Linked DNA regions of Kluyveromyces lactis. The protein of the gene in region 1 interacts with the protein of each later gene in a pairwise test. Links are inferred from orthologs where the notes say so. Each region holds a gene or a part of one and is shown on either strand. Other genes may lie near its edges. The genes, in order: STE24 and ERG11.

Region 1 (3,617 bases):
ACTTAGAGGAAAAGGAAAGGAAACCAGCTCTGATAAGTAAGAAAGACGGTGACAGTAGTAATTACTAATAATTAATATTAATGCTTGAGAAATTGAGTAGTTACTTCACGGGACCAGAGTTGTCTGATCCATTGCTAAGCTGGTCATTTGATCCATCTTCTGAAAACTTGTACTATAGACATTTGCATGAAGCCTTGATATCTTTTGTGGTGTATCAATTCATTCTATATCCATTTGTGGTGCCAAAACTTAACGAATGGTTCTTCAAAGAGCATTACACAGAAAGGGATGAACCTGACAAAATTAATTTCGATATTCATACCGTGTCTATGATCCAGAGCGTTGTCTCCCTGTACTTGATCTGGCCGTTATTATGGATTCCTTTTGGATTTAATGTGGCAACTTACTACAATTCTTATGCTTCCATGGTTTCTGCCGTTAGTATTGGGTATTTCATGTGGGATCTGTATATCTGTCTGAGGTACTTCAAATTGTTCGGTATTGGATTCTTGTTCCACGCTGTGGCAGCATTCGCTGTTCTGACCATTACCTTGCACCCGGTATGCCAAGCATGGATCGGAAGATTCTTGTCATTCGAGGCCTCAACTCCGTTTGTCAACATCAATTGGTACATCATCCAATTGTCCCGTGGATCCTCGAAGCAGGTGGTTCCTACCTGGTTCAACGTATTGAATGGGTTCTTGTTGATCTCAGTATTTTTCTTCGTCAGATTGGTATGGGGGTTCGTCGCTGTTGCGATTTTGATCTACGAGATGTGGCAAGTGTGGGATCAAATCCCATTATACATGACTGCCGTTATCTTGGGTATCAACGTCTCACTAGACTTCTTGAATATCCACTGGTTCTCTAAGATGTTGAAAATTGCTAAAAAGATGGCTAATGGATCTAAAAGAGTCTCCAAAATTGATTGAGTCCTTATCGTTGTCAGATCAGATCAGATCTGCTGACTGATTGTCTGTTTCATTATATATAAAAATCAACGTACTACATAGAAATGCCCAGCACCAAAACTGGATTTATAAGAAATAAAGATCACACGGTTATGAATTCTTCGCCAGATTCACTGATCAATTGAAGTAGTCAGCTAACCTTCAGGAGTGTTCCAAAGGGATATATTTGCCCATTTGAACGTGTGTGCCTTTTATTTTCGCAGGCACTAAATTCTCATCATGACCTTTAAGTGAGCATAAAATTTGAAAATACAAAACCGCAAAGAACTGCATTGACTTGTTTGAAGAATATAGAAGGAGAGAAGGCTAGAGTACTTGGTATTATTCGAACAGTGTGCTTCTAGTGCTTCATTTCCCCTTTATTTACCAGGGCTTTACTAAGTTAGGCAAGAAACACCGTTAGGAGCTGATTATCTGGCAATTTTGATTCGAATCATTAAATATATTCCTTTCTGCTTCTTTGCATATTGAACTAAAAATAAAGGTCAATTAACACTTAGCTTCGAGAAGAAAACATAGATTGTAGGGCATTGATCACCTCATTATAGTTATATTAATGATGGGAATTGTTGACATACTTCAAGATATCCTGGATTCATCTTCCATACCATGGAAAACCATTATTACGGGGTTCACTGTGGCGCAATTTGGATTTGAAACCTATTTGACTTACCGTCAATATTTGGCTCTATCCAATAAGAATTTGCCTCCCGTGCTAGTTGGTGAAATTGATGATGAGACGTTCCAAAAATCGGAAGCTTACTCAAGAGCCAAGTCTAAGTTTTCAATTGTATCGAATGTCATTAACTTGGCTCAGAATTTGATCTTCATCAAGTTCGATATTTTACCAAAGCTATGGCACCTGGGCAACAGCTTTGCCCAATATTTCCCAAGCAGGTTCTTTCCTACTTCTACCATTGCCCAATCCTTGTACTTTTTAACCGTCATGTCCAATTTGTCCGCTTTGATGGGTCTGCCATTGAGTTATTACCAACATTTCGTCTTGGAAGAGAAGTTTGGTTTCAACAAATTGACCATTAAGTTATGGATCTCTGATATGATTAAGAGCAGTCTGCTAGGTGCTGTCATTGGTACTCCGGTATTGTACTTGTTCTTAAAGATTTTTGAAAAATTCCCATCCAATTTCTTGTGGTACATCTGTCTATTCATTCTTGTGGTTCAAATCCTTGCTTTGACTATTATCCCAGTGTTTATCATGCCATTGTTCAACAAATTCACTCCATTAGAAGATGGCGAGTTGAAGACCGAAATTGAAAACTTGGCTAAAAAGGTAGGATTTCCATTGGACAAAATTTTCATCGTGGATGGTTCCAAGAGATCTTCTCATTCTAACGCTTATTTCACGGGTCTCCCATTTACCAGTAAGCGTATTGTCTTATATGATACCTTAGTCAACGATTCTACCACCGATGAAATTGTTGCTGTTTTGGCTCATGAAATTGGTCACTGGCAAAAATCTCATTTGTTGCGGATGCTAGCCTTCAGTGAAACTCATATTTTCTTGGTATTTTCCCTCTTCACCGCTGCTTATCAAAACAAATCATTATACAACGCATTTGGATTCTTCGCCGGTTCTGGTTCCTCATCTGATATCTCCAAGGTTATTACCCCTCAATATCCAATTATCATCGGATTCCTTTTGTTCAATGACTTATTACAACCGCTAGACTGTCTTTCTACATTTTTGACAAACTTAGTCTCAAGAGCTCATGAATACCAATCTGATGCTTACGCTAAGGAATTGGGCTACGCCCCTCATTTAGCCAGAGCATTGATCAACCTTCAAATCAAGAATCTTTCTACTATGAATGTTGATCCATTATATTCAAGTTATCATTACTCTCATCCAACGTTGGCCGAAAGATTGATCGCTATCGAATACAAGAACGAGAAGAAAGACCAGTAGTTTGCAAACAAAAAAGGCATTCAATTTACTGTTTACAGATCACTAGATAAGCAGCAGTACTTATCGTTAACAAACAGAGTGCTATTTTCAAAGTTTGTATAGTAAGATTAGTCTCTGTGGTATTTTGCAGTACATAGTTTAGCATTTTTATTATTCTATATATATGCGCTTTTTAAAGCCATAATGCAAATATTGTACCTGTTTTCCTAATATAAGATGTTAATCACCTTTATCCGTAAGACAACCACATCTTTCACTGAGTCTTGCAGCATTACAGGCCGGCATTTAGGCGTTGTTGCCGTATGTCTCTTGTTCTTTTCAATATTTACGTATACAACGACTCCAGCGTCTTTATTGCCATTTGAAAGTTAACTTGGGATTCCTTTAAAAGTTCAAACGTAACAACAATCATATAAACTGTTTGCCACTCATAAAAGGGAAGGCAACAACCCGCTCTAGAGACTGCAAAACATCTGACAGAGTACTCCAGCTTGTCAATTAAAAAGATATTCGATGTCTAGTGACGCTATGGATATTGATTCGGTCCCAGAGGCCGCGGTCGATAACAATTCTAATGAGGATGCCGTTGTGGATAAACTTCTTGAAATCCTCAAGCAGGTTTCTAAGAGTACATTATCAATGGATTCACGTTACGTATGGAAATCATTGAGAGATTTTGCAGCATTAAGACATGACGTTACCGTGGAAAATACTTCAAT
Region 2 (3,847 bases), on another chromosome or scaffold:
CTGAAGTCATTGAAGGAGTGACAAAGGGGTCGGAGGAAGCACCATTTGAGGATGCGACTGCAGCAGACCAGGCTACATATCTAAAGACCGACTTGGAATACACAGACGATGCTCTTGTCACTAAAGAAAACAGAGACGGTGTCATGATGGATTGGGAGACCGATATCATGTCAATGGCAGCCAAATCACTAGTATCTACCAGGTCCACAGATGAATGTGTCGTACTAAATATCGGATTTGGTATGGGGATCATAGACAATTTCATCCAGGATGAGAAAGTGACCAAACACTACATCTGTGAAGCCCATCCAGACGTACTGGCCAAAATGAAGGAAACTGGTTGGTTCGATAAAGAAAACGTTGTTATACTCGAGGGTAGATGGCAATCTCGTCTAAACGAACTTTTGGATCAAGGAGAAGTGTTTTTCGACGGCATATATTACGATACGTTCAGTGAACATTACCAAGATATGCTGGACTTGTACGACGTGATTGTCGGACTACTGAAACCAGAGGGTACGTTTTCGTTCTTTAACGGATTGGGGGCTGATAGACCCGTTTGTTACGACGTTTATCGTAAGATAGTAGAGCTAGACGTAGCAAATTATGGCATGGAATGTAGATACCAAGTGATAAACTTGAGGACCTTACCAAATTGGAACGACGTCAAGAGATCCTATTTCAACTGTACATACTACTACCATCCTGAAATCAGGTTTGCATAGCCCCCATACGAAAAAAAGCTCTTTCGGCTCGGGTATACCTCTCTAACTAGATACTTTATATCGGCCCTTGACGCATGTCATGTGACACCTCATGTAGTATGTAATAGTAAACTAATTAGCAGGTTCTGTTAAAGCCGTTCCCAGCGTAATCTGTCCTCGAGAAACTGCGTACAGAGAGGAAACGGCAAACAAACAAGATATTCATAAATCTCCTCAAATAACTACAGAGAAGGCATCTGCTGACATGAGCTGATGATAAAGATCGCTCAAAACCAAACCTACACTTAAATCCAAGAAATGGGATGAGATGAGATGAGACGATTTTCTCGCTTAGTGGTCTCCGCTAAACGATTCTTTTATGGTGCTTTAAACGAAATCTTTTTTTTTTTTTCGTTTCTTTGGTAGAACGATGAAAATGGGAAATACCATTAACAAGAAACAATCTTTATATAATGAGATGACATGACACTCGAGACAGTGAATGATAGGGAAAAGGAGATAGAGATTTATACTGAGGTTGTTGTCTCTAGTTCACACTGATAAAGCCTGTCTTTATTGAAAGGGACCAGGGAAGGATCAATATTCTGGTTTGAAAAGAGAATTACACGAGTATTGTGTATTAATCTGTTATCATTATCAGTGTTATTTTATCGTATTTTATTTTGTAAAAAAGAGTCTGAGCTTTGAATTATAGGATTAGAGTTACCAATTTATCATGTCAACGAAATCAGAATCGGTGGTTGTTAAGGTGTTTGAAGCTGCTCAAGCAGTGTTGGGCCAATTTTTGGCGTTTTCAATTGCTCAGCAGATTTCTATTGTGATCTTGTTGCCATTTGTGTACACAATTGTCTGGCAGTTGTTGTACTCGATGAGAAAAGACCGTGTTCCATTGGTATTTTACTGGATTCCATGGGTTGGTTCTGCTGTTAGTTATGGTATGAGACCATACGAGTTTTTCGAAGAATGTAGAGAAAAATACGGTGATATATTTGCGTTTGTTTTGTTGGGAAAAGTGATGACAGTTTATTTGGGACCTAAGGGTCATGAGTTCATCTTGAACGCCAAATTGGCCGATGTTTCCGCAGAAGCCGCTTATACGCATTTGACTACGCCTGTGTTTGGTAATGGTGTTATTTACGATTGTCCAAACCATCGTTTGATGGATCAAAAGAAGTTCGTTAAGGGTGCATTGACTACTGATGCATTTAGAAAATACGTGCCATTGATCGCAGAAGAAGTTCAAAAGTACTTTTTAACCTCTAAAAATTTCTCCATTGGTGAAAAAGACCATGGTAAGATCAACGTCATGGTCACTCAACCTGAGATGACCATTTTCACTGCTTCTAGATCGCTACTTGGCTCTGAAATGAGAGAAAAATTAAACACTGATTTCGCTTACTTGTACTCTGATCTAGATAAGGGTTTTACTCCTTTGAACTTTGTGTTCTCCCATTTGCCTCTAGATAACTATCGTAAGAGAGATAACGCTCAAAGAGTTATCTCTTCGACTTACTTGTCCTTGATCAAGAAGAGACGTGATACAAACGATATTCAAGATAGAGATTTGATTGATTCTTTGATGAAGAATTCTACTTACAAAGATGGTGTTAAGATGACCGACCAAGAAATCGCTAATCTATTGATTGGTGTTCTAATGGGTGGACAACATACTTCTGCTGCTACTTCTGCTTGGGTTATTTTGCACTTAGCTGAAAGACCTGACATTCAGGAAAAGTTATACGAAGAACAAATGAAGGTTTTGGATAACGGCACGAAAGAATTGACTTTCGACTTGCTACAAGAAATGCCTTTGTTAAATCAAACTATCAAGGAGACACTAAGATTGCACCATCCATTGCATTCTTTGTTCCGTAAAGTTATGAACGATATGCCTGTGCCAAACAGTTCATATGTTGTTCCAAAGGGTCATCACGTTTTGGTTTCTCCAGGTTACTGCCATCTACAAGATAAATATTTCCCAAATGCCTCAGAGTTCAATCCTAACCGTTGGGATAATGATGCTGCTTCTTCTTATGCCTCAAACGAAAAGGTGGATTATGGTTTTGGTTCCATCTCCAAGGGTGTTTCTTCTCCTTACTTACCATTTGGTGGTGGTAGACACAGATGCATCGGTGAACATTTTGCTTACATGCAATTAGGAACCATTTTGTCCAACTACATTAGAACTCTTACTTGGAAATTTGCTGATCCTTCAGCAACCGTTCCAACTCCAGATTTCCAATCTATGGTTACCTTGCCTCTAGAGCCATCTGAAATTGAATGGACATTAAGAAAGTAGAAAGTTTCTGTGTTCCACTCCTGTCATACACTGATTTCTTCATTGTTCTTAGACAATAACCAATTGTTGGGGGAGTAATCACGCAAGAACAATATTTACACCACTCATTCAGTATCCTTCTTTTTTTGATAGCATGCGATACGACTGATATTCTATTCATTGTCCCATTTTCCTCGGTAATTTCAATTCTATCTCCGTCTGATGTGATACTTCATCATTTGGATCTTTCAAATACATATTAATCATCGCCGTTTCGTGAGTAGCCGAACGCTATGATAATAAAACTGTCCATTAGTTTGTCGAATATGTAAAATTTATAAATTATATTTAAAGTTGTTTGCTTAGATCAAATATTACGCAGAAAATATACCTCATACCACAAAACCGATGTATTTAGATCAATTAACAAGCTCTTTTGGAATTGGGACCGATTTCTGCAGTGATGACGGAATCTGTAACAGGTCCTTCTCTCGGACGTTTTGTTGATGCTGCTAGGTTTGGATCGATACTATGCTCGGATATACGTCCGTCTTCAGATTCGTTGGGTGTTGAAGCACTATCAGCCTTATTCACATCAGGAGTCTCGGATATTGGGGTGACTGTCGAAGCAGGTAGTACATGTTCCTTCGCCATGTTTTCTTTTAGGATATCAACAGCAGTATTAACACCATTGTCAATTTCAATCTTTTGTTGCTTCCTCTTTTTTGGTTTAGTGTAATTTTTTGCTTCTTCTATGATGTCGTGTTCTATGGACCTTGCAATTTCTAACTTTTCTAATGATACCGCTATGATGTTTAAGAGTTCCTTGTCGCTCACCATAACT

Evidence for each region.
Region 2: the proteins of STE24 (region 1) and ERG11 interact in a protein complementation assay, tested with the Saccharomyces cerevisiae proteins (2 studies listed by BioGRID). The link is inferred for Kluyveromyces lactis from reciprocal best matches to the Saccharomyces cerevisiae genes STE24 and ERG11.

What each region holds. Positions count from the first base shown.
Region 1 is NC_006040.1:924,293-927,909, reverse strand, and holds STE24 (zinc metalloprotease), read left to right. Parts: upstream 1-1,527; coding exon 1,528-2,898; downstream 2,899-3,617. Other genes in the region: TDA4 (Tda4p), read left to right, coding at 81-932; proteasome regulatory particle lid subunit RPN3, read left to right, coding at 3,412-3,617. UniProt on the Saccharomyces cerevisiae protein: Proteolytically removes the C-terminal three residues of farnesylated A-factor mating pheromone. Also acts to cleave the N-terminal extension of the pheromone. Does not act on Ras.
Region 2 is NC_006041.1:328,464-332,310, forward strand, and holds ERG11 (sterol 14-demethylase), read left to right. Parts: upstream 1-1,440; coding exon 1,441-3,024; downstream 3,025-3,847. Other genes in the region: RMT2 (protein-arginine N5-methyltransferase), read left to right, coding at 1-725; SPP41 (Spp41p), read right to left, coding at 3,427-3,847. UniProt on the Saccharomyces cerevisiae protein: Sterol 14alpha-demethylase that plays a critical role in the third module of ergosterol biosynthesis pathway, being ergosterol the major sterol component in fungal membranes that participates in a variety of functions.